Elephas maximus indicus: one gene and its partners. The protein of the gene in region 4 interacts with the protein of the main gene of each other region in a pairwise test. Links are inferred from orthologs where the notes say so. Each region holds a gene or a part of one and is shown on either strand. Other genes may lie near its edges. The genes, in order: NEU4, NUP54, AP1M2 and AP2B1.

The links.
Region 1: the proteins of AP2B1 (region 4) and NEU4 interact in binary tests that used the Homo sapiens proteins (3 or more experiments, as listed by UniProt). The two-hybrid records come from large-scale screens. The link is inferred for Elephas maximus indicus from reciprocal best matches to the Homo sapiens genes AP2B1 and NEU4.
Region 2: the proteins of AP2B1 (region 4) and NUP54 interact in binary tests that used the Homo sapiens proteins (3 or more experiments, as listed by UniProt). The two-hybrid records come from large-scale screens. The link is inferred for Elephas maximus indicus from reciprocal best matches to the Homo sapiens genes AP2B1 and NUP54.
Region 3: the proteins of AP2B1 (region 4) and AP1M2 interact in binary tests that used the Homo sapiens proteins (3 or more experiments, as listed by UniProt). The two-hybrid records come from large-scale screens. The link is inferred for Elephas maximus indicus from reciprocal best matches to the Homo sapiens genes AP2B1 and AP1M2.

The regions. Positions count from the first base shown.
Region 1 is NC_064824.1:143,630,475-143,638,417, reverse strand, and holds the start of NEU4 (sialidase-4), read right to left. Parts: upstream 3,017-7,943; coding exon 2,816-3,016; intron 2,112-2,815; coding exon 1,856-2,111; intron 885-1,855; coding exon 1-884. UniProt on the Homo sapiens protein: Exo-alpha-sialidase that catalyzes the hydrolytic cleavage of the terminal sialic acid (N-acetylneuraminic acid, Neu5Ac) of a glycan moiety in the catabolism of glycolipids, glycoproteins and oligosacharides.
Region 2 is NC_064823.1:81,130,081-81,137,488, reverse strand, and holds the start of NUP54 (nucleoporin p54), read right to left. Parts: upstream 3,002-7,408; 5' UTR 2,940-3,001; coding exon 2,873-2,939; intron 1-2,872. UniProt on the Homo sapiens protein: Component of the nuclear pore complex, a complex required for the trafficking across the nuclear membrane.
Region 3 is NC_064821.1:28,633,429-28,640,329, forward strand, and holds the start of AP1M2 (AP-1 complex subunit mu-2), read right to left. Parts: upstream 3,002-6,901; 5' UTR 2,934-3,001; coding exon 2,892-2,933; intron 1-2,891. UniProt on the Homo sapiens protein: Subunit of clathrin-associated adaptor protein complex 1 that plays a role in protein sorting in the trans-Golgi network (TGN) and endosomes.
Region 4 is NC_064837.1:30,139,951-30,146,960, reverse strand, and holds the start of AP2B1 (AP-2 complex subunit beta), read right to left. Parts: upstream 3,017-7,010; 5' UTR 2,875-3,016; intron 2,859-2,874; exon of another isoform or gene 2,678-2,858; intron 2,660-2,677; exon of another isoform or gene 2,437-2,659; intron 1-2,436. UniProt on the Homo sapiens protein: Component of the adaptor protein complex 2 (AP-2). Adaptor protein complexes function in protein transport via transport vesicles in different membrane traffic pathways.

The DNA of each region.
Region 1 (7,943 bases), on a different chromosome or scaffold from region 4:
GATGTTGTCCAACACGTCACGCAGGGAGAATAGGCAGAAGGAAATCTCCTCATAAGAGACCCGCACCCCACTCTCGTAGAGGCAGGCAAAGGCCAGGCCCCCCATGTGCCGGCCTGGGAGAGCAGCCAGGTCAGAATAGCCGCTGGGCCCCTCATGAATCACCCAGGGCTCTGTCCAGCTGTGCAGGTCCAGGGGAGCCCTGCTTAGGCGGACACCCATGTGAAGGCGAGCCCGGCGCCCCGTTGGGTGGGAATAGAGCAGCCACGTGGGGCTCGGAGTAGGGGCCTCAGAGGCTGCACTATCCCCGCCAAGCCCAGGCCCTGGGCCAAGCTCCCCAGGGCCATCCCCACAGACCACTACTGCCCCACAGAGGTCTTCGTCACCCTCTTTCAGGGACCCTTGGACTCTGGGACCAGAGCTTGGAGGTTGGGGGTGGCTCTTGGCACCCACCAGCTGGGTGCCTGCCCAAAGCCAGCTGGGGAAGGGGGCTGGAAAGCCCACCACGCTGCCCTGGCAGCCACGGGAGGTCTCGGCTAGTGGGGGCACCAGCTGCCCAGGCAGGAAGGAAGTGCCCTCATCAGCGCTGAGCGCCTGCACACGGCTGCCCAGGGAACTCCGCGCATTGCAGTAAAGCACAGGGCCACCCGGGCCACCCTCCACAGCCGCTAGCTGGCACTCGCCTGAGCGAAGGTTGGGCACGAGGCCCCCATGGCGCCAGCTTTGGCCGAGGTCGTCACTGTAGAAGACGAAGGCATGGGGGGAGGTCCGGCAGATGCGGCCAAAGCATTCACGGCGGTCCACGTGGTAGGTATAGGCTGGCACCAGCAGGCGGCCCGAGCGCAGCTGTACCCCATGGCCAGGACCCACAGCGAACGTGGCCCAGTCTAGGGGGACAGAGAGGGCCAACTGAGGCTGGAGCCCTGGCCACGCCAGCCAGGACGGCGTGTGCGGGGCCTCAGCGAACAGCCGCCCACTGACCACTGCTTCCCTTGGCTCATCCGCTGCCCTGGGCCCTCACTGTTCTTTCCTCACAGGCTGGACACAGCACTCGAGGCCATTAAAAAGACATCTGCCAGAAGCCCCCATCTCAGCAGGATCCCAGGCAGCCCCCTTAGCCAGAGTTCTGGAAAAGCCGCCAGCCCCCAGAGCAAGTGGACAGATGGCCATGCGGGGGCACTGCCCAGTTGCTATGGCAGACAAGGCAGCAAGGGAGGGTGGTGGAAGTGAGGGGACCTTCGGGGTGGGATCTGGGGACAGCCCTCAGGTCAGCCCTCAGGACAGGGTCTGGAGACAGCCAGCACTGGCTGTGTCCCCTGGGAGGGTCCACACAAGTGGGCATTCACTTTTTGGGTTGGCTTTGGTGTGTCATGTCCACGCCCCTCGATGAGGCACCCAAGTCCAGGAAGGCAGTGGGTGGTCAGGCTGGGGGTCAGCAGGAATGGAAGGAAAGCCCGGCTTTGGGGTTGGCCACCTGCCCTGTGATTCGTGCCTGGGCCCTCAAAACAGGGACAAGGAGGGGGAGGAGGAAGAGGACATGGTGAGGAGGCAGGACAGAAGCTGTTATTTGGAAGCCAAGAGGGACCTCAGCATCTACCCTCTCCTGGGCAAAGAAATGAGCCCAGGAAGGGGAGAGATGGCGAGGGTCAGATGAAGAAGGTGGGGCTGAGACCTCAGGGATGTGGGCAGCTGGGCTCACGTCCTCAGGGAGGGGCAGGCCCGCTTTTTCCAGTGGAGGCTGCTGGCCTCTAGTTGCCAGTCCCCCACACCCATCCCCCCACCCCCGCCCTGCCTGTCCTGCCTTCTGCGCCCACCATCCTCCCCCCTTGCCCTCCCTGCTCCCAACCCACCAGCCTACCCTGCTCATCGCTGCCCACGGCCTCCTCGGTGAGGTCCCGGGCACCACCCCAGGTGAGGCCCGCGTCGCGGCTGGTCACGCAGCAGAGGCGGGCGGCATTGCGGCCAGTGGCAATCTGCACAGCCTCAGGCGTGTGGCCGAGCACCGCAATGAAGAAGAGGAAGACAGTCCCCGTGCGTGCCTCATGCACAGGGCAGGGGTTCATGGAACGGTGCTCTTCCAGCGCCGCCGTCCCCAGCACATGTAGGCTGCCCCACTGCAGAGGTGGCCACGGCCAGACTCAGACCTGGGTCTGCCCAGTGGACACTGCCACAGCCTCAGACCCTTTTGCGTCTTTCTCTAAGATGGGATACCACCTGCACTGAGCCTATAACCTCCCTCACCTACAAGGAGTCCCCCTAGCATCCTCCCTCAACTTCCTGGAGCCCCTCACGTGCAGAAACCCTCCTTACCTGCATGGAACCGCTCCTGATCTTCACAGATTCCCCCTCACCTGTACCAAGCCCTTCAGCACCCCTTCACCTGCACGGAGACCCCAGACCTCCCTCACCTGCACAGAGTCCCCCAGCATCTCCCTCACCTGCACAGAGCTCCCCAGGGTCCCCTCACCTGCACAGAGGTCCCCAGCATCCCCCCACCTGCACAGAGCCCCCCAGGCCCCCTCACCTGTGCAGAGCTCCCCAGCATCCCCCTCACCTGCATGAAGCCCCCAGCCCCCCTCACCTTCACGAAGCCCCCAGCATCTCCCTCCACTTGCACAGATCTCCCCAGCATCCCCATCCACCTGCACAGAGCCCCCCAGCCTTCCTCACCTGCACAGGACCCCCCGTCAGTGTCCCCCTCACCTGCACAGACCCCCTCACCCCCTTCACCTGCACAGAGCCTCCCAGCAACTCCCTCAGTGCTTCACAAAGCCCCCAGCATCTCCCTCCACCTGCACAGAGCCCCCAACCCCCTCACCTGGACAGATCCCCCAGCCAGTGTCCCCCTCCGAAGCACCAGGCGGTGGGCATGAGAGTCATCGGGGCTGAGTCGCTGCTCAGCAAAGGCCAGCAAGGTGGGCCCAGAGGGCACGGGGAGCAGCGCAGGCACACGGTACGTCAAGCCGGTCCTTTCCCGCTGGAAGAGCACCGAGCGTGCAGGAATATGTGGGGCTCCCATCTCTGCAGAATGGGCTCAGTCAGTGGGGAGGGGGGCCAGCCCTCCACCCTGTGCCTACCCAGCATCCTTCCTCCCTCCCTCACCCACAGCCACTGAGTCCCCGAGTGTCTGTGGGATTGGCTCTCTCCTCCTCTCAAGGCGGTGTTAGGGTCATCATAGAACCTGCCCAGCAGGAGATGGCCCAAGTGGACATGAGAGCCCAGAGCTCCAGACAAGGAGGGGCTCAGTGACCCCTCCTAAGGCCCCACCACCAGCATGGCAGCCGCAGTGGACAAACAGACCCACAAGACACCAGAGGCACCCACAGAAAGAGAGAAACACTCAGAACTGACACACAGAGGAACACACATGGCGCATGGAAAGAGATGCTTGACACACAGAGAGACACGGACACACATGCACACAGACACAGAGACACACACGTGTGCACATGCTGGCACAGAAATGAGCACACAGACACATGTGCACACAGGGACACACAGCTCTCACTAGAAGAAGGCACCTCCGGCCACAAGGAGGATCTGGAGGGTAGTCGGGGCCAGGGGGTGCTGTGATGTGTGGGGATGGAGACATGAGTGGGGAGGGGGGATGAACGGTATTCCCCACCACTCCTTGGCAAGGATCAAAGCTGCACACACCCCACATTGACAACGACACACAGGAGATCCACCACCCCGCACCCGAGGGAGCCCCACACCTGAGGTCCCCAAGCCAGACAAGACCTCCACCTCATTCCACTCTTAGTCTAGGACCTCCTGCCCCTGGAAGGCAGCTCACAGGTCCATCCCTGCTTCCCACCAAGCCCCAGCAGACCCCCCAGCATGACCCAGATTCACCCTGGCTGGAGACTCCTGCCCACCACCACCACCTCTGGGGCTCTGAGAGCAGTATCTTGTCTCCTGGAAGCCCTGGGCTCTGCAGTCAAAGGGCAATTGTGTCCAAGCTGGACACAGGTGCAGATGCCACACGTCGCCTGGGGCTGCCTGGGCACAAGTGGGACCTTCTCTGCATGCTTGGCTCCCTCCCCAGAGCTGGGCCACCTGCCTGCCTCGAGCCGGGTATCAGCGCAGCCTGCAGAAGCAGGCAGGGAGCCAGGCCACCACAGGCTCAGAGACAGACCAGCTGGTCAGCCTTTCACTGTACGGGGGGAAACTGAGGCCCACCATGAGAACAGGGCTGCAGGCACTCAGAGCATCCTTGCTGAGGCCACGGTTTTCCATGGAGCTCCGGAGGCCCAGGGGAACCTTCCCTGGCTCTGCCACCTCACTTTAAAAGAAGCAGAGTTCCAGGCTTTGCGTGACCAGAACTGTGACTCTTTGCAAAGTGACCCAGGCGTCTATGGCCAAATGCCCATTCACCTTCCCAGGCAGGCCCTCTGCAGGAATGGGGTGGCTTCCCTGGTATGGATGTTCTAGGAGAAAGGAAGAGACCCATGCTGTCCTGGCGCCCGACCCTTGGCTGGGCAGCTGGAGTCATTCTGCAGCTCCTTCCCCCCTCCCCGCCATCCTGCCTGGGCTCCTCTGGATACTCTGGGCCAGCCCCAGCCCCCAGACTCCGCGGCCAGCGCGTCTTGTATTGGATCTTCCAGGGCTTGGACGGCTCAGTTTACTGCAGGACCTCAGGTACAGGGGGGAGTAGGGAGGGGACTCAGCTGCCCTGGCCCCCAGGCTCAGGTGCAGGGGTGAGGAGGGGGGTACTCACCGGCCTCACTGCCCTGGCCCCCAGGCCTGATGCGGGGTGAGGAGAGGGGTACTCACCGGCCTCACTGCCCTGGCCCCCAGGCCCGATGCAGGGAGACCAGGGAAGGGCTTCCTGGCTGTGCAGCTGCTACAGAGCCAGAGGTGGTTTATCTGCGGGAAATATCTGCCTGGCCAGCCCCCCGGGCAGAGCGGACAAGGCCCCACTGTCTGGGTGTCGAGCCGGCAGCTGGCCACATCCAGGGCTGCGTCAAGGCCTTCCTGGTGGGTCTGCAGCTTCAGTATCGTAGAGGGGGCCAGGGGCAGGAGTCCAGAAGGGACAGGGGGGCGTGTCAGGAACAGGTGGCCCAGTGGCAGCCCAGGGATTTGGGGGGGCTCCCCAACAAGTGTTGTGCTGTGGGGAGGGCCACCGTTGACCTTGGCAGGAGCACCATGTCAGCTGTCCCAATTCCACCCAGAGACGCCCTCGCATGAGAGCCAGAGTGGACCACGTAGACTTTGCCTCCCATCCGTGCCTGCTGTGTGGACACCCCCGCCCCTACCCCTCTTCAGCCGAGAAGCCCCCACAGCCTGCCCATTTGTGCTCTGCTGGCCGCAAGTGGGAAGTCTTTCAAGGTCAGCTGATTGAGCACAGAGGTTCCTGTGAGAAGGAAAGGCGGTCTGTACCTTCATTTGGGGACTGAGCCACCTCCCCCACCAGACAGGTGGCAGGTTGGACGACCTCACCTGCAAGGAGCCAGGAGGCGCTTATGTAGAATGGACACGCAGACCCCAGACAGGTGGGGATGTTCCGCCCCGGGTGCCTCTGGGGGACCGGACAGCTGCCAGCCTCGATAGCCTCAGGGATGGCCTGTGGGGTGAAGGGCGACGGGCCATTCACCGTGACCTCGTGTAGGGGACACGCTAACAGCCAGGAAGGAGGTGAGTGACGGAAAGTCCTGCTGCCTGAGGAGTCAGTGCCGGAGGGCAGAGCTTCTGTTGGGGCAATGGCTGCACAACACAGCAAAAATAACTAATGCCACCGAATGTACACTTCGAATCTTTAAATGAAAACAAAACGCCCAAGTTCACGCAGAAACGACTAGAGCAAACGAAGCTTGTGAAGTCAGCCAGTGCCTTGTGTATGCTGAGACGTTCAGTTTGCTCTCTGCTGGGACAGAAATGTGGTCGACAGCCCACTCCATCAAGTAGGAAGGCGAAGCCACAGTGCTGGGTGTGACTCCTCGGGAGGCCCCGTCTGCACCTGTGGACACAGCAGATGCCCGCAGCCCCATCCCCCCGCCCTGCACGCCCAGCGCATGGGGAGGGTTCTTTCCCATGGCCCCTCCTGCCCAGGGCACCTGGATGGTGTCAGGACTGCTGTAGTAAAGCACCACACTCTGGGGCTTAAAGAGAACAGGGATGTACACTGTCACAGCTCTGAGGCCACAAGTCCAGATTCGGGTGTCAGCAGACCCTTCCTAGCCTCCAGCGTCTGGTGGTTCCTTGGCTTACAGATGCTTCACTCCAGTCTGGCCTCCCTCTTCACCTGACCCTCTTCCCTCTGTCTCTCTGCGTCTTCTCTTTTTAAGGGCACCAACTGGATGGGATTAGGATCAATCCTCCTCCAGTGTGGCCTTATGTTAACAGATGACACCCTCGAAGACCTTATTTCCAAACAAGGTCACATTCAAAGAGAGGTTTCAACTTCAGCTTATCTTTTGGGGGACACAAGTCAATCCATCATGGTGGCTGTAGCTTCTTTCCTGTGGTTGCGATTATTTGTGAACAAAGCAAGCCCCCACTTTCAGCCAGCGCTCAGAGCAAGGCCACGGTCCACCCACTGGGTCCATAAACTGCTCCTAGCAGGCGTGCCTGGTGAAGGCGGGGGTGCTGGCCCATCCATCATGTCCTGATCCCGAACGTGGTTTGGGAATCAAGACAACGGGATGGACCAAAACGCTCCTTCAAAGCAGAGTGTTGCAGGCAAATCATGACTTAAGAACTAATTTCCAACAATTCCTTAAAAATACATGAACCTCAAACCTGCTCCCAGAGTAACCGATCAGTTGGAAGGGGTAGGACCATAGGTGTGAGCCAGAGGATTTCTGTGCTGGGAGCGGGGCAGGGAGTGAATGCAATGAAATGAAGGGCATTCTCCTCCAGTCCTAAACACGGGGCTTCAAATGGAAAACAAGCTCTGGAACAGTAAGAAATCGTGTGATTTCACAGCAAATGTGGACACTGAGATGTAAATCCATTTGTCAGCTCAGGCCCTGGGAGACCTTGTGGGATTAGCTCACTGGGGTACTGAGGAGGGGCAGGTGGAGGGCTGACCTCCTCCCCACAGAGAGGAGTTGGCGGGGGTATTGGAAATGTAGGCTGTTCTAAGAAATTCTAAGAAAGTTCGGGCAGAGCCATGGAGTCCCCTGCACCTGGGAACAGCCTGCTGTGGTGTGTGGGCTTGGCGTGGCTGGGAGCTCCAGGGCCAAGGGGCCTCCAGTCCTGGTGGTGGATTCCACCTGGAGACCAAGGGTCAGCGCTGGCTTCGACACTCAAATATCCCAGAAGAGTGTTTCACGGCCGCCCCTCCTGCCTCCCCCAGTCAGACTAAAGAAAACGAAGGTGTCTGAAATTCATGCTTGAACATATTTTATTGGAAACCAGTGCCTCCTGGCCCCCAAGCTGAAAGGCCCCACAGGAGAGCTGGGGTGGGAGGTGGACTCCCTTTCTGGGAGCTTGCTGCAGAAGCTGCCCTGTGAGGGGCACCCGTGAGCCCCTGACTGCACCCCTGCCTTGAGGTGTCTCAGCCCTCTGTGCTCATTGAGGGGAGATGAAGTAGCCCGAGAAGAACCCTAAATCCCAGCGACGCCAGCGGGACAGGCACACTGCCACCCAGCAAAGAGCCCAGAAGGGGCGGCAGCTCAGGACCAGGCTCTGTGCAACCCATCCTTGTCTCTGGGCATCGTCTCGTCCGTCCTTCTCTCTGTGGCCACCCCGAGCCCCAGCCCAGGGAGGGGAGAGGGAAGAAGGATGGACCCACTTTCTAGGGAAGGACTTGGACAGTGATTACACCCACGGCCAGGGCCAGCCGGCCTCCTGGCGGGGGGGGTGGCAGTTTGTCCAGTAAAACCCCCAGGATCTCCTGTTAGAGGAGAGGGAGGGGACCCCAAGGACAGTTAGCACTCTCGGCCAACACAACCAGACTGAGGGAGGGGGCCCCCCTCCCTTTCCCTGTCCCCACAGGGAAG
Region 2 (7,408 bases), on a different chromosome or scaffold from region 4:
GGTTAAGAACTTGGTAACCAAAGTCGGCAGTTGAAATCCACCAGCCACTCTTTGGAAACCCTACAGGACAGTTCTACTCTGCCCTATAGGGTCTCTATGAGTCGAAATCAACTCAACGGCAATGGGTTTGGTTTTTGGTTAACTTGAATTGCATATATTTCTGGTACGCAGGACAAAGATGTATCAATACAGTAACATAAATCTCTTTGATAGTAGATCATATAATTCTGATGTGTAAAATTAATCAAAAGTAAACTGCATGTTGTATGCTGCAGTTGTTGTCAGTTGCTGTCGAGTCAATTCCAACTCATAGCAACCCCATGTGTGCAGGGTACAACTGTTCCATAGGGTTTCCAAGGCTGCAGCCTTTTGGAAGCAGATTGCCAGGACTTACTTCTGAGGTGCCTCTGTGTGGGTTTGAACTGCTAACCTTTCTGCTAACAGTCCAGTGCTTAACCATTCGTGCCACCCAGGAACACCTATATTGTATGCAAGCATAGCCAAACACTCTCTTTACTTGTAGGTTCTACTGCAGTACAGCAAACTGTAAATATTTTAATAAAAATCACCTAAAGTACTAAACACTGATCTTAGTCTTTTTCATTACTCCTCACACCCATTTAATAACTACGATATACTCTGAATTGGCTCCACAAAAAAAACTAGTCAATATCTTATCATGCTCCACAATACCAAGAATATTTATTAGTAACAATGACTCTGCAATGATACAAAATAAAAAAAGCAAACAAGAATTTCTATCAGCCCTTTGCTGAAGGCTACGTTAACTAACATAAATGTAGTTAAAACAGTTACATTATCAGAACTCAAAACTTAACAGTGATAACACTAAATAAACAATGAAATCAAACAAATACAAACACGTTTATTATTGCTGAATTATGAGCTGGGTGGCTTTATTTGGAAACAAAATAATGTGTTACCCAGTGCCAATTTTAAGCAAACAAAGAAAAGTAAACATACCAAGACAATAACATGTAATGATGTCAAATATATCTTAGATAATGGATTCTTTTATCTTTAGAATTTTCAAATATTCTTCAAACTGTTTTCAGATGCTAAGGTGATATTTACAGTGCAGTAATAAGTAAATGCTCAAAATACCAGACTTCCCAAATAAGTTTTAGGGAATAAATAATGCTTACCAGATGCATATAATTGGCACGGGCCTAAGCGGCATAATGTAACAGATACAGACACTAAATTCATATACGAGCAGCTGAAAAAGAAGATTTTTCTATAGGGTCATTTTATGTAAAGTACACATAAGCCTATTCTAAATTTATATATATATATCCATTACAGTCAGTGTTTTGCAAAATTTTTAACTAGCTTCGAATAATTCATTTAAATACCAAAATCTTCAAAACTATGACAGAATGCAAAAATGTCTATCCTACCTTTTAGAAATCGATGCTGTCTGACAATAAAGAAAATTGCTCTCTCAGGTCATTTCCCAAAAAACCAGTAAAGAATTGGGGTTCTTTCTACAATTGTGTATTTTATAGAAATCATGTACCCTAATCTGCTGAGTTGACCAAAGAAATACATTATTTACCAGTTAAAAAACAAGAGAGTTACTGCTGTTCGTATAAGACTTGTTTCTCTTGGGAAACACAAGGACGATCAAATAAAATCTCAATGAAAGATGTAGGGAAAATGAAAAATGAGTGCAGGAGTCCAAGAACCCCAAGAAAATGGGCCTGATCAGTGAGGTTACATTTTTGGAAGGGAAAGCTAATAATCTGGAAGATATATTCTATTCAAAATAATATCCCATTCCAAAGTCTTATCATTTGGAAGCTGTATTTTGTTCAATTAAATGCAAATTTAGCAAGGGAACATTATGATTTGCAAGACTTCCGAGAACCACATCTTTTAGGACAGTCAAAACCTGAAACGAATGTTTTTAATTCAACATTGGGAAATGAATTTCCTTTCCTTATTAGACAACTCACTATTCTTTCTCACACTCTAGGAATCCCGAAATATTATTCTTGGACTCCGGCTTCCAACACTCATTACACATACGGCCCGCAGTATCTACCTGCACTCGCCAGACTGTTACCAAAATTGAACGGAGTTGCCGAGGTTGTGGAAACACCGAAATTCCCAATATTAAAGTTCACTGCAGGATTAGCAGTTAATCCGAAACCCCCAAAATTAAACCCACTGGCGGTGGAGTTGGCAGTCTCAAGCCCACCAAATCCTGATAGGCGTGTAGGCAAAGAAACAAAAAATTAAATTAAAAAAGGGGGAGAGGAGAGAAAAAGAAAAGAAAGCAAGATAAGGATTAGAAGAATCAGCAAGAAGTTTTACAGACAAACCTGACTTTCTCCAAACAAGAAAGCAGAATAGGTAGGAACAGGTGAAAGGAGGAGCCAGTAACCAGGGTCCACGGGGCCAGGAGGAAGGGTCCCGCCCCTGCAGGGCGCGGACGGAGCGAGCTGCGGGGCAGCGCCTTGGTCTCCCCAGGCCCTATCCTCCCGCCAGGCGCCTGGGCTGAGGCGGGAGGAGAAGGCGTGTCCCGGGCAAGGGGGTAAGCGAGCCCCTCGAGTGTCCGCGAGGCCGTTTCCCCGGCGGCGGGAAACCAACCCCGGGAAGACAGGGCCCGGCGGGGCCCACGCGTGGCGCGCGAGCTCTGGGTTGAGCCTCTGGCCCCCGAGCCCTCCTCTGGAGCCTTCCTGGCCCGCTCCGCCGCCGCCGCCCGCCCTCTTCCGATGTCCATAAAGTCTCCGCGCCGGCCGGAGATCCCAGAGTCTCCAGGCCGGGGACCGGCGGACTTAGAGGGCACAGGAAGGCCCAGAGGCCGACCCTTCTCCCGGACGGAAGGTCTGGGAGGATCACTCACCCGAGGGGGCCGCGGGGGCTGCAGCGGTGCCAGACGTGCCCGAGGGAGCCCCAAAGTTGAAGGCCATGTCGCGGAAGCAGTGGACCAAGGCGCCGCTCCTGGGACGCTCCGTGTGCTTGGCTTTTCCGTCCGGCAGGGAAACTGCGGCCCCGATAACCCAGTTCCGCTTCCTTTTTGGCCCAGCCTAAACCTAAAACCAAACTCGCTGCCCTTGAGTCAATTCCGACACATAGTGACGCTAGAGGACAGAGTAGAGCTGCCCCACAGGGTTTCCAAGGAGCACCTGGTGGATTCAAACTGAGGACCTTTTGGTTAGTAGCTGTGGCTCTTAACCACTACACCACCAGCGTAGAAGGTGGGAACGTGCCAAGGACCTGCGTAGAGGGTGAAGAGGAAACTCCGTGAGTCCAGCTTGCTTCCTGAGCGTTTTGTGTCATTGCGGGGCGCGGGTAGTCACAACAAAGGTAATACGCTAGGAAGCTTGAGAGGGAATGCTGCCTGAGAGCCCTTCAGATGTGCCTTAAGGACTTATCTTGGAAAGGTGTGCAGGGCCTGAAGTCATTATTGTAGAGGTAGGCAGTAGACACCTTGAATATACATGCCTTGGTGTTATCGTTGAAGATGTAGCCTTTTCGAAGAGCAGTCCTAGGAGGACCCAGGTTGGGGTTTAGGAGGTCCCCCCAACCCCGAGAAATGCTATTTGAACCCAGTCCTGAAAAATGAGTGGGCGAAGTAGAAGTAGGAAAGAGGTGACATGTAGGAAGAACAAAAGATAACAGTAATATTAACTGTAGGGTAATGCTATTCAGCGATATGCATCCCCTCCCTAATGGAGTCAGCTTTGCTCTTCCCTGAAGCATGCTGGGGATGAATTCGGGATGGACCTGGACTAAGGTAAAAGGCCAGGAGTGGCATGACTGGGCCAGCGGCCAAGGCCGAAGAATGCCTTAGCAACAAGAAGGAAAACATCTGGGCCTGGACGCTAAGTCCCTGGGAGCACTGACTGCACAAGGACGTGGTAGAAAACGATGAGACTTTGTCCCAGCTGGAATGGTATATAAGCTTGGGTCCCTTGCTAGGTGGTTGCAGAAAATATTCCATCCAGGCGCCACTGGAGAGAGCAGCTGCTTGCCTGTGTGAGTAAGTTTCCCTGAACATATGAATCTGGAAAGGGCTATGTGTCAGTTCTTCAGATTATCTGCCAGGATGCACAGTGAGGGTCTTTCCTTGCTGGGGCCATCCCCCGACATTAACAAACACTTATCTTGTGTTTCCTATGTGCCAGACACTCTTCTAATCATTTTACATCTTTTTAGTTTACTCCTCAATTACCCTGTGAAGTAAATTACTATTATCACCCCCATTTTATGGAAGAGGAAACAGCCACAAAGGGACACGCTGAATCCAGTCCGTGATGTTAATCAACAAGCTGTACCATGAGCACTGAACAGTGAAGGGTATATAACCTGCCCCTGTGAATGCTAGTAAATTTCTATTAGTCCTTAAACTAATGCAAGCCAGATTTGGTCTTCCCCACATGACCAGAAGGACCAGCTGTGACCACATAACTTCAGTAGAGGATGCAGCAACATGAGGAAAATCATCGCCTGGACCCTATTCTGAAGCCAGAGGTCCGACAAGAGTCACATCACCTGTTTCATGGCCACCTTCTAGAATTTTCCCTCTCTAGTACGCCCGTGCAGCTACCATCTTGCTGCCCAAATCACATATAAGCCCTGCTTCTCCGTAGCTTGGGGAGCTGGATCTAAGGAACTTCCTCTTGGCGCCTTGCTCTGCACATTGCAATAAAGTTACTTTCTCAAAGACCAGTGTGCAGATAATTCGCAAGTCTGAGCACAGCAGACAAGGCCCACCTTCTAGGGTTCAGAAATGGGGAGAATGTCCCCCAGATGAGACAATGAGCTTTCTAAATGCTAAAATCCGTGCCTTCAAATTTTATTTGCGGTAACATTTAATCCTGCTAATAACCCCGTAAGGAAGCTCTGTTATTAACCACATTTTGCAGGTAAAATGAGAGGACCGAGGTTTAGAGTTGCTTAGTGAAAGGAGGTGGAACCAACAGAATGCTATAGACAGAAGCACCATGCATCCCTCTGCAGCAAAGACCTGAAAAACTAAGTAAAGCAGATACAAATGTCAATCTTGGAGCCCCTAAGTACAAAATGAAGGAATAAAGAACTCGATCAAGCACCATATGGAATAAAAAACTGAGAGAGAACAGAATAGCAAGAGCTACGGAGTGGAGGTCCCATACCAGCTAATGTGGCGTGATTGACCATCTTGGGATATAGCTGCCAAAGGACTCAGACAGGAGTATGGGAAAGTAACTCCATGGAGCTCCCAGCAGGAGACAGAGCACCCAATAACCAGGGATACACGCTTTCCCACTCTCCATCCTTCCCAGTGTGGCATTCAGTGCTTTCCATCGGGCCATGGTTTCTCGGCAGGAGAGACACTAGCACACTGCTGCTGGGGTCCGTCCTGCCCCCACCAGCCGGCCCCTTCAGTGCCATTTTTTTTGTTGTTCATTTGTTTGTTTTTTGGTTTGTATTTTTGTTTTTTTATTTTGGGGGGGGCTTTTTTGTTATTTATTTGTTTTTAATATTGTTTGTGGGGGCTTTTTTTTTAATTGCTTTTCTCCCTCCCTTCCTTCCTTTCCTTTCTCCTGCCCAGCTAGCCCTGTGTGCCATCCCCTCCCCTTCTTGATGGGCTGTGGTTTGTCTGCTTTGTTTTTTTTTTCTTTTCTTTTCTTTTCTTCTGTTTCTTCTCTCCCTCCTTTCCTTCCTTTCTTTTTTTCCCACCCACCCAGTCCTGGGCACCACCCAAGCCTCTTCTGGAGGGGCCGTGCTACACAGCTCAGTTGGAGAGTAACTGTGCATGGCCTCCCCAAGTCTGCGCTGCTGTCACCAACTGGCTCCCTAAGCAGAATTTTATTTATCGTTTTGTTTGTTTTCTTTTTCTTTTTTGTTATTCTTTCTTCTCTCTCCCTTCCCTTCTTTTCTCCCATCCACCCAGCCCTGTGCACTACCTTCAACTTCTTGGTGGGCTGTGCTGTACCACTTGGTTGGAGAGCCTCTGGCACACAGCATTCCCACATCTGTGCTGCTCCAACAGGCCAGCTCCCTCAGCATCATATTTTTTATTTTTCTTTATCTTTCCTCTTCTCCTTTTCCTCCTCCCTCCAACCTAGGCCCTGCGTTGCCTATGTCCCTTCCTGAAAGGCCGTGCCGTGCCACCTGGCAAGAGAGAGATCAGCTTGCAGCCACCCCAATTCCGCCCTATCCCCAATGGCCACTGCCCCCACCACCACATTTTTTGGTTGCTGTTGTTTTTATTATTTATTTATTTTATTTGTTTGCTGGTTTCTTATCTTTCTTTCCCCTCTTTCCTTTTTCCACCCACCTAGCCCCATGCGCCACCCACACCTCTTCTTAACAGGCCAAGCCACACTGCTTGGCTAGAGAGCCACCAGTACATGGCCTCACCAGGTCAGCCTCACCCCCACCCACCGAATCCTACTGAACTGCCATTTAATTTTTTTTAACTTAATTTTTTTGCTTGTTTTTTATCTTTGTTTCTCTCTCTTCTTTCTCTTCTTTTACCCACCCACTTAGCTCTGCACATCACATCCTCTCCTTTCCCTCCTGCCTATTTGCACTGTGTGCTGAATGCCATGCCCCTGAGCAGTAATGACTCAGTCTCCCAGACCCTGCCCTGCACTGCTGTCATGTCCCCCCAAAAATATGTGTCAGCTTGGTTAGTCCATGATTCCCAGTATTGTGTGGTTGTCCTCCATTTTGTGATTGTAATTTTATGTTAGAGGATTAGGGTGGGATTGTAATACTACCACCCTTACTCAGGTCACCTCCCTGATCCAATGTAATGGGAGTTTCCCTGGGGTGTGGCCTGCACTAGCTTTTATCTCTCAAGAGATAAAAGGAAAGGGAAGCAAGCAGAGAGTTGAGGACCTCATACCACCAAGAAAGCAGTACTAGGAGCAGAGTGTATCCTTTGGACCTGGGGTCCCTGCACCTGAGAACCTCCTCAGCCAGGGCAAGATTGATGACAAGGAATCTTCCTCCAGAGCCGACAGAGAGAGAAAGCCTTCCCCTGAAGCTGACACCCTGAATTTGGACTTGTAACCTACTAGACTGTGAGAGAATAAATTTTGCTTTGTTAAAACCATTCACTTGTGGTATTTTTGTTATAGCAGCACTAGATAACTAAGACAGCTGCCCTCCAACCTCTTCCCGTCACCCCCAGTTCATGCTGCAAACTACCCATCCCCGCCCCTCCACCTGGCTGGACATGCCCTGCTGCACCATAGCTGAATGACTGGCCCTACCCACCTGGATAAGGTGATGAGAAGTATTGTGCCCACAGGCAAGCAAGCAACAAAACACACCCAGCCCGCCAGCACAGACATAACCAAATAAAACAAAAATTCAGGACAAAACATTCAAATCTACAATCAATAAATGAAGAAAATAATTCCTGAATGTCTCAGAGACAGCA
Region 3 (6,901 bases), on a different chromosome or scaffold from region 4:
GTAAACTTAAAACTGGGTTAAATACTAAAGTTTATTAAAAAAAGAAAAAGAAATCAAATGATGTATTGAATTGGGCAAATCTGCTGCAAGAGACCTTTTTAAAGTGTAAAGCAAAAATGTCACTTTGAGGACTACGGTGTGCCTGACCCAAGCCATGATATTTTCAATCACTTCGTATGCGTGAGAAAGCTGGACAATAAATAAGGAAGACTGAAGAATTGATGTCTTTGAATTATGGTGTTGGTGAAGAATATTGAATATACCATGGGCTGTCAGAAGAACTATCTATCAGACAATCTTCCGCAGCTATTTATAAGGTTTTCACTGGCTAATGCTTTTCAGAAGTAGACTGCCAGGTCCTTCTTCCTAGTCTTAGCCTGGAAGCTCAGCTAAAACCTGTCCTTCATGGGTGACCCTGCTGGTATCTGAATACCAGTGGCATAGCTCCCAGCATCACAGCAATGTGCAAACCCCCACAGTACAACAAACTGACAGACAAGTGGGGTCAGATGGATCCTGGCTGAAATCAGAGAATACCAGAAGGATGTTTACCTGTGTTTTATCGACTACGCAAAGGCATTCGACTGTGTGGATCATAACGAATTATGGATAATCTTGCCAAGAATGGGAATTCCAGATCACTTAATTGTGCTCATGAGGAACCTGTACATAGATCAAGAGGCAGTTGTTCAGACAGAACAGGGGGATACTGAGTGGTTTAAAGTCAGGAAAGGTGTGTGTCAGGGTTGTATCCTTTCACCATACCTATCCAATCTGTATGCTCGGCAAATAATCCAAGAAGCTGGACTATATGAAGAAGAACGGGGCATCAGGATTGGAGTAAGACTCATTAATAACCTGCAATATGCAGATGACACAACCTTGCTTGCTGAAAGTGAAGAGGACTTGAAGCACTTACTAATGAAGATCAGAGACTACAGCCTTCAGTATGGATTACACCTCAACATAAAGAAAACAAAAATCCTCACAACTGGACCAATGAGCAACATCATGATAAACGGAGTAAAGATTGAAGTTGTCAAGGATTTCCTTTTACTTGGATCCACAAGCAACAGCCATGCAAGCAGCAGTCAAGAAATCAAACGACATGTTGCATTGGGTAAACCTGCTGCAAAGACCTTTTTAAAGTGTTGAAGAACAAAGATGTCACCTTGAAGACTAAGGTGCACCTGACCCAAGCCATAGTATTTTCAATCATATCATATGCATGTGAAAGCTGGACAATGAATAAGGAAGACTGAAGAAGAATTGACGCCTTTGAATTGTGGTGCTGGTGAAGAATATTGAATATACCATGGACTGCCAAAAGAATGAACAAATCTGTCTTGGAAGAAATGCAACCAGAATGCCCCTTAGAAGCAAGAATGGCGAGACTGCATCTTCTATACTTTGGACATGTTGTCAGGAGGGATCAGTCCCTGGAGAAGGACATCATGCTTGGCAGAGTACAGGGTCAGAGGAACAGAGGAAGACCCTCTATGAGGTGGATTGACACAGTGGCTGCAACAATGAGCTCAGGCATAACAACGATTGTAAGGATGGCTCAGGACAGGGCAGTGTTTCATTCTATTGTGCATAGGGTTGCTATGCACAATAGAATGAAACGGAACCGACTGGACAGCACCTAACAACAAGCCAGAAGAACGAACAAATATCTGTCTTGGAAGAAGTACAGCCAGAGTGCTCCTTCACATACTTTGAACATGTTATCAGGAGGGACCAGTCCCTGGAGAAGGACATCATGCTTGGTAAAGTAGAGGGTCAGCAAAACAGAGGAAGACCCCCCATGAGATGAATTGACATAGTGGCTGCAAACAATAGGCTCAAACATAGCAACAACTGTGAGGATGGTGCAGGTCTGGGCAGTGTTTCATTCTGTTGTACATGGGGTCACTGTGAGTCAGAACCATCTCGACAGCACCTCACAACAACTACCACGTTATTTAGTTCTCACCACAAACCCTGTGATGGAGGTGTTGCCATCATCTCCATTTTATAGATGCGGAAGCTGAGGCTATGAAAGAGTCTATGGAACCATGTCCATAGTAAGCAGGGAAACTGGGAATCGAAACAAGGCGGCCTGGCTCCAGAATTCTTGCTCTCACCCCGGGCTTCATATGCACCAGAGTGGTAAGGTAGGGCTTATGAAAAACGGAGAGGGGAAGGGGAAAGGGAGGGGAGAGGAGGGGAGGGGAGGGGAGGGAAGATTCTATCCATGCACCTCTTAGAGTTCATGTCTGTCTGCCCTGCCAGCAGTAAGCCAGCAATAATAATAGTACTTAGGCTGTTGAGTCAAGTGGTTAGAACAGAGAGGGCACACAGCAAGTCTCTAAATAGCTTTCACTATTAATATTATCAGTATTATTTTCACACCACCATTGTTACTGCTGCTATTGCTGAATGACAAGGTGGATAAGGGAGCTTCAGGAAAGGACAAAGCAGCTCTAAAGGGGAATTAGGGCCTTCTGCAGCCTTCCCCGGGTATTAATTTTGTGGAAGATGACAGTGATGGAAATATAAACTTCAATTTATTGAACGCCTAATGTTTGCATCGGGGCTAATGTGCTAAGCGCTTTACACACTTTGAATTTTATGAGTTCTGACTGGGTGGGGACCTTAGTTACCCCCATTTTTAAGGCAGGAGAAATTAAGAACCCGAGGGGCAAAGCCCGTTGTCCCAGGCACACGGCCAGTAAATGGTGGAGGTAGAATTCAACCCGGACACACGGGAATTAGAGTGGAGGGGGGCGTAGGTTTCCACGCCCCAAGAGCTTTCTGGAGTCTTGCTAGCTTGCGCGGATGTGCCGCCCCTAGGTTGGGGGGAGCTTAGCCTCACCGGTCTGGCCCCCTACACCTGCGCTTAGCCTCACCTTGCCCTTGACGTCGAGGATGAAGACGGCCGAGGCGGACATAGTGGCAGCCGGTGGATCTGAGAGGCGAAGAGGGAGAGCCAGAAGGTAAAGACAGCACCGCTTCCTTCTTCCTGCGGAAGCGCCCACGCCCAGGTGAGCGCCCAGGTGAGCCCTCTTAAAGGGGAGGCCGCCGCCAGGTGAGCGGCGCGGTCGGCAGACGCGACAGCTATTGAGAGGGCTGGAAGGGGGCGGTCCTTCGGTTGAGACAGAGGCCCCGGCTCACTTTCTCTTTGCACCTGTGAGTGCTGGTGGGCAAAGACAGCGGACCAACCGACCGCCTGTCTGTCAGTCGGTCCCTCCATTCATTCATTCATTCTCCTCTGTCTCTACCATAAGTACACAAGCCCCAATAGGGCCGGGGCTTTGTCCTGTTCCTGCCTGTGTCTTCTGCGCCCAGTAAAAGACCTGGTAAAAAGGTACACAGTATAAAAAAAAAAAAAAAAATTTTTGTAGGTGTTGAATATTTGTTGAATTCATTCATTCATACAATAAATATTTACTAATTAGTTTATTCTGTCACTCAAATATTTACTCACTAATAAATTCTTTCACTCAGTGACTGGAACCTTGGGAAGGATTCTGAGCAAGACAAATGTAGCTGCTTTTAGTGTTTTCCTAACGTAACTCTTGTCCATTTGTTCAAAATTATTTATTAAGCCCTGGTAAGGCCGTGGTTAAAGCACTTGGCTTTTAACCCAAAGATGCTTCAAACAAACCAGCCACTCCACGAGAAAAATATGTGGCAGTCTGCTTCTGTAAAGATTACAGCCTTGGAAACCCTAAACCCCTATGGGGCAGTTCTACTCTGTCCTACAGTGTCACTATGAGTTGGAAAGTTGGGATTGACTCAGTGGCAATGGGTTAATGGGTTTGTGACACTAAAAGAGCCCTGGTGGTGCAATGGTTAAGCTAGGCTGCTAACTGAAATGTCAGAACCCACCAGCGGCTTCGAAGGAGAAAAGACCTGGTGACCTGCTCCCATAAAGATTAGAAAACTCCATGTGGCAGTTCTACTCTGTCACATGGAATTGCTATAAGTCAGAATCGACTCAATGGCACACAAGAAAAATGTGACACTAAGATGTAGATAGAATATGGAAAGGATAAATGATAGTTATTATTATGGCTACAACTCCCAGGGTAGCACAAAGGGTTTGCACTCGGCTGCTAACCTAGAGGTTGGTGATTTGAACCCACTCAGTGGAGCCATGGAAAAAAGCCCTGTCAACCTGCTTCAAAAGAGATTACAGCCAAAAGTACCCTCTGGAGCAGTTCTGTAACAGATGGAGTCACCACGAGTCAGAATCAACAGGACAGCAACCTGTTTTATTATGACTGTAATTATTATGTCATAATATTATTCCAGCATATCCTTACTGACCACCTACTGTGTGCTAAACTGGGCATCTGGAAGGGGTTTCGTTATGGTGATGATGGTCATGTTGATGGTGATCCAATCAGCTAATGAATATTTATTGAGCACCCGCTGTGCTCTTGTGGATTGTGATGTAGACAAGGCTGGTACCCCGGTTCTAGGGAGGGTGAGAGACACACAATTAAAAAAAAAAAAAAAAAAGATGATTCCTGATGAGGATGAGACCTTTGAAGACAAGGGTACTAGGGGGCAGGGCTGACAGAGAGTGAATAGGGGCTATAAGTCAGGAAGATCAGAGCTGACATTTGACAGAGGTCTTCGAGGCCCTGTAAATAGTAACACTGTAAGACAACATTATTGCCAGCCCTTCACTGTGTCCCTGAATTTCCACCACAACTTTATGAGCAGGGATGATCCAAGCGATTGAGCCCAGTGCAGAGTTGGGCACACAGCAGTTACTAGTATTGGTTTTGCTGTTGTTTATTGTTACACGTGTACCAGAGAAGCTCATGGACTCCAGATCCAGCTGCCCGAGCTCAGGTTCTGGCTCTGCAACTGGCCAGCTGTGTGGCCTCTGGTACCTGGCCTCCCTCCCAAGGTCTCAGTCTTCACATCTGTGAAAAGGATTCATAACTGCACTTTTCTTGTTGGGTTATCATGCACACAACAGCATGAGTTATTATATGCAACATGGTGCATGGAACATGCTTGATCATGACAGCTATAATGATGATAATTATGACAACAATGAGGATTGTGGTGGTTAAGAGAACAAGTGCGGGGTTTGAATCCTGACTCCACCACACATTGCCTGAGTCATCAGGTTTGAGAGCCCCTTGGTGATCTGGTGTATAACAGAATGAAATGTTGCCCAGTCCTGTGCCATCTTCATGATCATTGTGTTTGAGCCCGTCCCTGCTGCTGTTGTCAGTCCATCTCACTGAGGATTTCCTTCATTTTGCTGACCCTCAATGGCAACAGGTTTGGTTTCTCTACCAACCATGATTTCCTTTTCTAACAATTGTGTCCAAAGTAAGCTAGCCAAAGTCTCTCTGTCCTTGCTTCTAAGGATCATTCTGGTAGTATTTCTTCTAAGACTGATTTGTTCATTCTTCTGGCAGTCCACAGTGTATCCAATATATAGTGCTCATTATAGCGAAACTTTGTCTCACATACTTTAGACAAATTATCAGGAGGGATCAGTCCCTGGAGAAGGACATCATGTATGGTAAAGTAGAGGGTCAGCGAAGAAGAGGAAGACCTTCAACAAGATGGATTGACACAATAGTTGCAACAATGGGTTCAAACTTAACAATGATAGTGAGGATGGTGCAAGACCTGGCAGTGTTTCATTCTATTGTACATTGGATCACTATGAGTCAGAACCGACTTGACAGCACCTAACAACATATGCAGGCATATGCACTACCCTAAATATCTGGTGTGTGGGAATCCTTGAGACAACTCTTTAATTTAGGGAACACTATTATCTCCACAGAGCCCTGGTGGCACAGTGGTTAAGAGCTCAGCTGCTAACCAAAAGGTTGGCAGTTCAAATCTACCAGCCACTCCTTGGGAGCATTATGGGGCAGTTCTACTCTGTCCTATAGGATTGCTATGAGTTGGAATTGACTCAACAGCAGTGGGTTTTTTTTGGTTTATTATGTTCATATGACAGATGGAGAAACTGAGGCTCAGAGAAGGTGAGTGACTTGCACAAGATCACCCAGCTAGTAGTGACCAAACTGGGATTCGAGCCCTGCAAAGCCCAGGAATTCATACTGCCTCTGCCCAAAGGAGGGAGGGCCTTCCATGCTCTTACCCACTCCCTGCTCAGGAGGTGGTCTGGGGCGATACAGGCTCTCACTCCAACTCAGGCACCCCGGAGCCTCACAAGGATTCCCCTCCTAGGGCCCTTAGTGAGATGTTTTCAGGTAGTAAATAGAACTCAAAAGCCAGGGCCTAGTGCACTGGAATCTGAAACTCAATGCCTGTTTGGCTGAAAAATTCATGAACCCAAAAGCTGCAGTGGGGTCAGAGAACAGAGCAGCTCTGTCTGGCTGGCCCTGCCCAGCCTGGCCTATTTGGTGGCAACCACGCCCATCCCAGCTTCTAGACACTTGCAGCCTGCACCAGGCTTCTTTCAGCTACCCTGCCACTAGGAACCCCTTTCAATCCCTTTTTTATGTCACTAAAGGAACCTCTGAAATACAACTACTATGGTCTCACCCACTCTCACATCCCCCGTGGCTCCCCATTGCCCTCAGACATTGCCCCCAGTTGACCTCTGCCGCAGGGCACCCTGAACCGCTGCCCCAGACAACTGACTTCCATAATTTCAGTTCCCCTCTTTGCCTTTCTCTTTCCTCCGGCACCTGAGCCCTCTCTGCAGAACGCCTGCCCCTCTTTGCTCTTACCACTTGGTTCTATTCTCATTCAGCTCTCAGGCCTTCTCCTTTGGGAAGCCCTCTCTGTCTTACACTCCGTGTCTCCATCACGTTCTTCCTCTGTGCTTTCCCAGTGCCCGCTGCTCCCCCCATCACAGCTGTGTGATACCATACTTATATAAAGTTAACTCTTACTGAGGTGAAAT
Region 4 (7,010 bases):
AGAACACCAAAGACACAATGGAGTTATGAGCCCAAAAAGAGAGAAAGGGCCACATAAACCAGAGGCTACATCAGCCTGAGACCAGAAGAACTAGATGGTGCCAGGCTATAACCAATGACTGCTCTGACAGAGAACCCCTGAGGGAGCAGGAGAGCAGTGGGATGCAGACCCCAAATTCTTGTAAAAAGACCAGACTTAATGGTCTGACTGAGACTAGAAGGACCCGGTGGTCATGGTCCCCAGACCTTCTGTGAGCCCAAGACAGGAACCGTTCCCAAAGCCAACTCTTCAGACAGGGATTGGGCTGGACAATAGGATAGAAAATGATACTGGTGAAGAGTGAGTTTCTTGGATCAAGTAGACACAAAGGACTATGTTGGCATCTCCTGTCTGGAGGGGAGATGGAAAGGTGGAGGGGGTCAGAAGCTAGCCGAATGGACATGAAAAGAGTGGAGGGAATGAGTGTGCTGTCTCATCAGGGGGAGAGCAATTAGGAATATAGAGCAAGGTGTGTATAAATTTTTGTATGAGAGGCTAACCTGATTTGTAAACTTTCACTTAAAGCACTATAAAAATTAAAAAAAAAAAAATCAAGCTCCTCCTGGGGTTCTTTCAGGAGAGCCCCAGGAATAAGCAAAGCCACCCTGGAGCTCCAACTCACACTACTTTCCTAACTGACCAATCTGACACTTGACTATTCCCAGGGCTCCCGGTATGGCCTAGGGGTACTGTTAAACAACAAAGCTGCCACAGTCAGGGCACACATTCAATCTTACCTGTCCTAGCCCAGAGTGTGATGTCACCACATTTCAGAGAGGGCCTCCCTGCACAGGACTATATATTTAGATTTAACATAACCCAGTTTCTACCAAATATAGGTTGTGAAAAAAACCTCCCCACCTATTTCCCTCCAGTCCTCTAAAAGAAAAAATGAGCAACAAAATAAGATTAATAGCCTCAGTAGAATAAGGCCAGAAAAAAATTAATAGGATCTTAATTTCAAATGGCTCTCTGGGAAATGGTAGTTAAATTAGTGCTGAGGAGGCCACTAAGCTTTTCACAGAAGTTGGGCTTTACAGTTTAGTGCTCCATAGGGAAAAACTGGCTAAAGAGTTAACCAAATTACAAAGCAGAAAGGTCATTCCTGCAACCTTTTATTACAAAGGTGAGAGGTGCTAAGTTCATTTCTAATCAAATACTAATAATGCAAAGATGGTAGCATCTTCAGGTATCATATAAAAAAGATAGCTCCTAAAAATCACAACAGACATTGAAAAGCCAAAATTGTTTGTGATTCCTATTCAAATGTGACAGAACACGAATTAGTTAATATTATACAGTAAGAAATGAGCCCAAAAGTTTTATATCCATCCACTTCTTAACTGAAATACCAATACACTCTGGAAAACTTAAGTCTGGAGTGAAAGAAGAAAGGAGACTAGGTCCTACCCAATTCATTCCGTGTTCAGGCCTGGTTCAAATCTGTGCCTAAAATGTGATATTGCAAAAATATACACCTATTTAAGAAAATAAAAAAAAAGATGGAAGAACTGGGCTTACATGAATCTCTTAATTCACAGTCAGAATGTTAGCTTTATATTAATTTTACCACCTAACTTTCAGTGAGGCTGTTTGCAGAACACACTATCCTTTCTGCTTCCTTGGGAGTTTCAACTGTTAAGACACCTACAAACAGTACTCACCTTACCACCACATTTAGTCATCACTGGAATGTGTTACACGTTTTCTTACACAGCTGCATCTCCTTCACCTACTGCTTTCTATTATTACTTTGTAAGTGTACCCCGAGGCTAAGCAATTGCAGAACACAAGATAATAATTTAAATTTAGACCACCTTCTTTCTCAGTCATTCTGCCTTTTTTGAACTTGCTACGTCTTTTTTTTTTTTAAATCATAACATTTATGGTAACAGTATTCTGCATTTAAAAAATTTTTTTTAAAGTCAAAATTTAATGAAGCATCCGCACGGAACCAGGTGAGTTCAACAAAAGCCTGCTCCAAGATATAAGATTACCCTGTAAACAAATAACCAAAAAACCCACTGCTGTAAACAAATAGCATGCATAAATTCTTTGGATTCAAAGAATGTGGAAATAACAGGAAGTTCTAGTTTCTTCACTACTACCTTAACCTACCAACATTCCTAAACCAGATCATTCCTGCTAAGCCCAGAAAGGAAAAAGAAAAAAAACCCAAAACCATGCTGCTGTAAGATTAACCCCCACTTGCTTCCTCCTCTCTCACAGCTGGTCAAACTGCTGGAGGTTTCTTTTTCTTCCTCCCAAGCGTAAGGAATTCCTCTTCTTTCCCCAGGTGGTTAAGACTCTAGGGATAGGTTCCTCCATTGCAAGGCGGGGAGAAGTGTCTTACTCTCAAAAAAATCCTGGAGGGGAGGCGAAAAAGTCGGGCCTTACCGACAAGCAAAGCTTTGGGGGAATCCTCCTCCTTGGGGCTCAGTGGACACGTCTCAGCCTCTCCGGGAAGGACGCCAGGCGGGGAAGAAGGAAGGTTCTCCCCTCGGCCTCCCGTCTCCAACGGCCACACCCCTGGCCTTCGGCCCTCCTAACTCCCGGACTAGCCATCAAGGCAGCTACAGAACGTACGTCGCCACGGCACCCCGCATCTGCCAGCGGCCACGCCCGCCAATTCCCTCACCTCACCAAGCCAGCGCGGAGGAGTCTCTTTCGCCAACCCTCTTCCTCACAACGGTCACACACGACGGCTCCCTCGCCCTCAACAATCAAACAATCAAGTTTCTAGGATTTCGACCCTTCCGTCTCCGACCCGGGCAGGGGTTTTCCTCCCTCCCTTTAATGAGGGACACGCCCCAAAGTCGGCCAGCTCGAACTCACCGGAGGCAAGGGCGGGGGAGGCGGCAGCAGCCAGAGAGCGCGGCCTCGGTGGTGGTGTAATGGTTTCTTGCCCGTCACGATTCCTTCTGCAGGTCTAAGCCACTGCGCAAAACCCACTTTGCCAGGGACAAAGATGGGGGACAGGAAACGTGACGTAAGAGGACCTAGTCGCGAGACGTCATCGGCGTGCGCCGGAGAATCAGAAAGGCTGTGACCTCTGTCGTCTTGGCGACAGAATGATTTGCTTGGTCTAGAAGAGGTCTTGAGACCTGGGACCCGGAGGCTGTTTAGTGGCTATCTGAAGGGATATATTGAACAAACTGACATTCTCTGGATTTATTTCCTCGCACAGGAGTTCTCTGAAAAGTTTACATATAGAGCAGGTGAAATATCATGTTCCTTTCTGAAAACAAAACAAAATCAGCAAATTCACGTGTTGGGTCCAGCCAAGGATTATACACAGGCAGTGGGACGAGAGGAGAGCGATGCAAGAAGAGATTGAGTCGCCATTAGACATGAGTTCGAATTCCAGCCCTGAGGATGACTGGGAAAGTTACTTAACTTCACCGCAGTCTTAATTTTCTTTTCTCTGGGTTGTAAACCTTAAATGAGATAAAGTAGGTAAAGCGCCTATCATGTAATACATGTGCTTTTCACAAAAGTAAGTTCCCTTTCACCTTTTCAGAAACAAAGGCCTAGATTCCAGGATCCAGAACTAGAGAACAAGGTTAATCAGAGTAAGTAATAGGGATGGGTGTGGGAGTGGATCCTTTTTCCCTCACATTTTTACCTATTAAATTTGTGAGAGTGGAAAAGTATATGTTGTTGTTAGGTGCCCTGGAGTTGATTTCGACTCATAACAACCCCTTGTACAACGGGAGGAAACACTGTCCGGTCCTGTGCCATCCTCACAATCATTGCTGTTTGAGCCCATTGTTGCAGCCACTGTGTCAATCCATCCCCTTGTGGGTCTTCCTCTTTTTTGCTGACTCTCTACCTTACCAAGCATGATGTCCTTCTCCAGGGGTTGGTTCCTCCAGATAACATGTCCAAAGTATGTACGACGAAGTTTTGCTATCCTGTCTTCTAAGGAGCACTCAGACTGTAGTTCTTCCAAGACAGACTTGTTTGTTCTTCTGGCAGTCCATGGTATATTAAATACTCTTCATCAACACCAAATTCAAAGGCATCAATTCTTCTGTCTTCTATACTCACTGTCTAGCTTCCACATGCATATGAGGCAATTGAAAATACCCTGGTGTGGGTCAGGCACACCGTAGTCCTCACAGTGACATCTTTGCTTTTTAACACCTTAAAGATGTCTTTTGCAGCAGATTTGCCCAATACACTATGTCTTTGATTTCTTGACTGCTGCTTTCATGGGCGTGGATTGTGGATCTCAGTAAAATGAAATCCTTGACAGGTGAAGTATTTTCTCCATTTATCATGCTGTTGCTAGTTGGTTCAGTCGTGAGGATTTTACAGTCCAGAAAATCCTATGAGCAATTCTACTCTGTCACAGGGTCGCTATAAGTCAAAATCAACTCTGTGGTACCTAACAATGACAACAATCTTTATGGGAGCAGATCCTCAGGTCTTTCTCCAGCTGAGCAGCTGAGTGGGTTCAAACCACCTACCTATTGGTTGGCAGCCAAACACTTAACTGTTACGCTACCTGAAAAGTGTGTAAGCATCTTAAAATTTCATTCTTAAGTAATCAGAAGTATCTAAAAGGTTTGTAAAACATAGTCGTATATTATTATTGCCCTTATTATTGAAATAGGTGAAAATTGGAAACCTAATTTTAACACAAGAGGGAACATAAACATTTATGATAAATCAAATAGCTGCATAATGTTGTAGAATATTTTATGTCACAAGAAAATTCACGATCATGTCAAGAGAAAAAAAAACAAGATACCAAATAATATATACAGTGTGATTGCATATGTATTTTTTAAAAAGGCTAAAAATATTCAGCAGAATGTTGAGTGGTTATTGCTGGATGGTTAGAATTTTAATTTTCTTCCTAATTTTAGAAGCATTCTACGCTGAACATGTATTTATTTCTATGATTGGAAAATACTTTTTAAAATCATATTTTTGAAGACTATATAATGGAGTCCCCTGAGTAGCTCAAATGGTTAAGTGTTTTACTACTAACTAGATATTGGTGGTTTGAATCCACCCAGAGGCACCTCAGAAGGACTGGCGATCTGCTCCAAAAAGGTCACAGCCTTGAAAACCCAATGGATTCAAGCTCTGCTCTGCAACACATGGGGTCACCATGAGGCAAAATTGACTCAGTGGTAACTGGTTTGGTTGTATTTAATGACAAGGGAAAATACTTTGAGATGATGTTAAGGAAAACATATGGCTGAATGTAACCAAAACCTGGAAGACAGTTAAGGTACCAGCCTGGATGAAAGTTCTGAGCAACTAATAGTCTTTTGTTATCAGGAGGGATCAGTCCCTAGGGAAGGACATCATGCTTGGTAAAGTAGAGGGTCAGTGAAAATGAGGAGGACCCTCAAGGAGATGGAATGACATAGTGGCTACAACAGTGGACGCAAACATAGCAACAACTGTGAGGATGGCACAGGACCAGGCAGTGTTTCTCTGTGTTGTACATAGGGTGCTGAGTCAGAATTAACTCACTGGCACGGAACAACCACCACCATGTCATATGTATACATATATGTGTGTGTATATATATATAGGAGAAACCCTGGTGGCATAGTGGTTAAGTGCTACGGCTCCTAACCAAAGGGTCGGCAGTTCGAATCCGCCAGGCGCTCCTTGGAAACTCTATGGGGCAGTTCCACTCCGTCCTATAGGGTCGCTATGAGTCGGAATCGACGGCACTGCGTTGGAGATTATATATACGTATATATGAGCCCTGGTGGCGAAGTGCTTAAGCACTCAGCTTCTAACCAAAAGGCAGTTGGAACCCATCAGCTGCTCTGCGTAGAAAGACGCAGCAGTCTGCTTCCATAAAGATTTACAGCCTTGGAAATCCTATGTGACAGTTCTATCCTGTCCTATAGGGTTACTATGAGTCCCAATCGATTGACCCGCAATGGGTTAATCTTTTTAATTGGCAGCAATAGAGCTAAAGGCTTCTATTTTCTGCTACTCAAAACCAAACCCACTGCGGTTAACTTGATTCCAACTTATAGCGACCATATAGGGAAAAGTAGTTCTATTTTGTCCTATATGGTCTCTATAAGGAAACCCTGGTGGCGTAGTGGTTAAGTGCTACAGCTGCTAACCAAAGGGTTGGCAGTTCGAATCCACCAGGCGCTCCTTGGAAACTCTATGGGGCAATTCTTCTATGGGGTAGTTCTACTCTGACCTATAGTGTCGCCGAGTCGGAAGACTCAACGGCACTGGGTTTGGTTTTTGGTTGCTCTCTATAAGGGTTTCCAAGGTTGTAAATCTTTAAGGAAACACTTTTTCCCGCGTAGGGACTGATGGATTCGAACCGCCGACCCAGCGCTTTCCCCGCTGCGCCACCAGGCCTCCTTATCTCTTGCTGGGTCACTTCGAATCCTTTCCAGAAAGCGGTCAAATAAAATTAACGATCACCAATTCCTGCCTTGGGCACACGAGAAAACCCTCCCATCTCCCGATTTCTTTGTCCCTCGGCCTCTAGCACCATCGATCCTGGGAACACAGGACTCAGTACCCAGCCCAAATTATGTCCGGGGGCGTCAGGGCTCGGAGCACCGCAAACACCTCCTCAAAAAAACTTCAAAAAGAGATGATCAGATCTGTGGCTTTCACCTGTATAGACTCAGAAAAAGTAAAACAAACAGAGAATTCGTCGCCAAAACTATCCCATAGGAGACATTTTTAATTTTAGCGGGGGCGGAAGCGGAAGGGTCATAGAGTTCTCTACTTCCGGCTTCGGCGCCGCGTTCCGGACTAGAGCCCCTCTCCTCCTGCCACTTCCCTGAGGCCGCGGAGCCTTCTATTTCCGGTTACCGCTTCTGTCATAAAGCCGAGACCTCCCCGCGAACGTGGCGTTGTGGGTCCTTCGCGCCTCGCCTGTGGTCAGGTAGCAAGGACGGGCGCGGGCGGGGATACTTTACAGCCCAAACTGGACACAGTCTTCGCGTACCGGACCCGTGTTG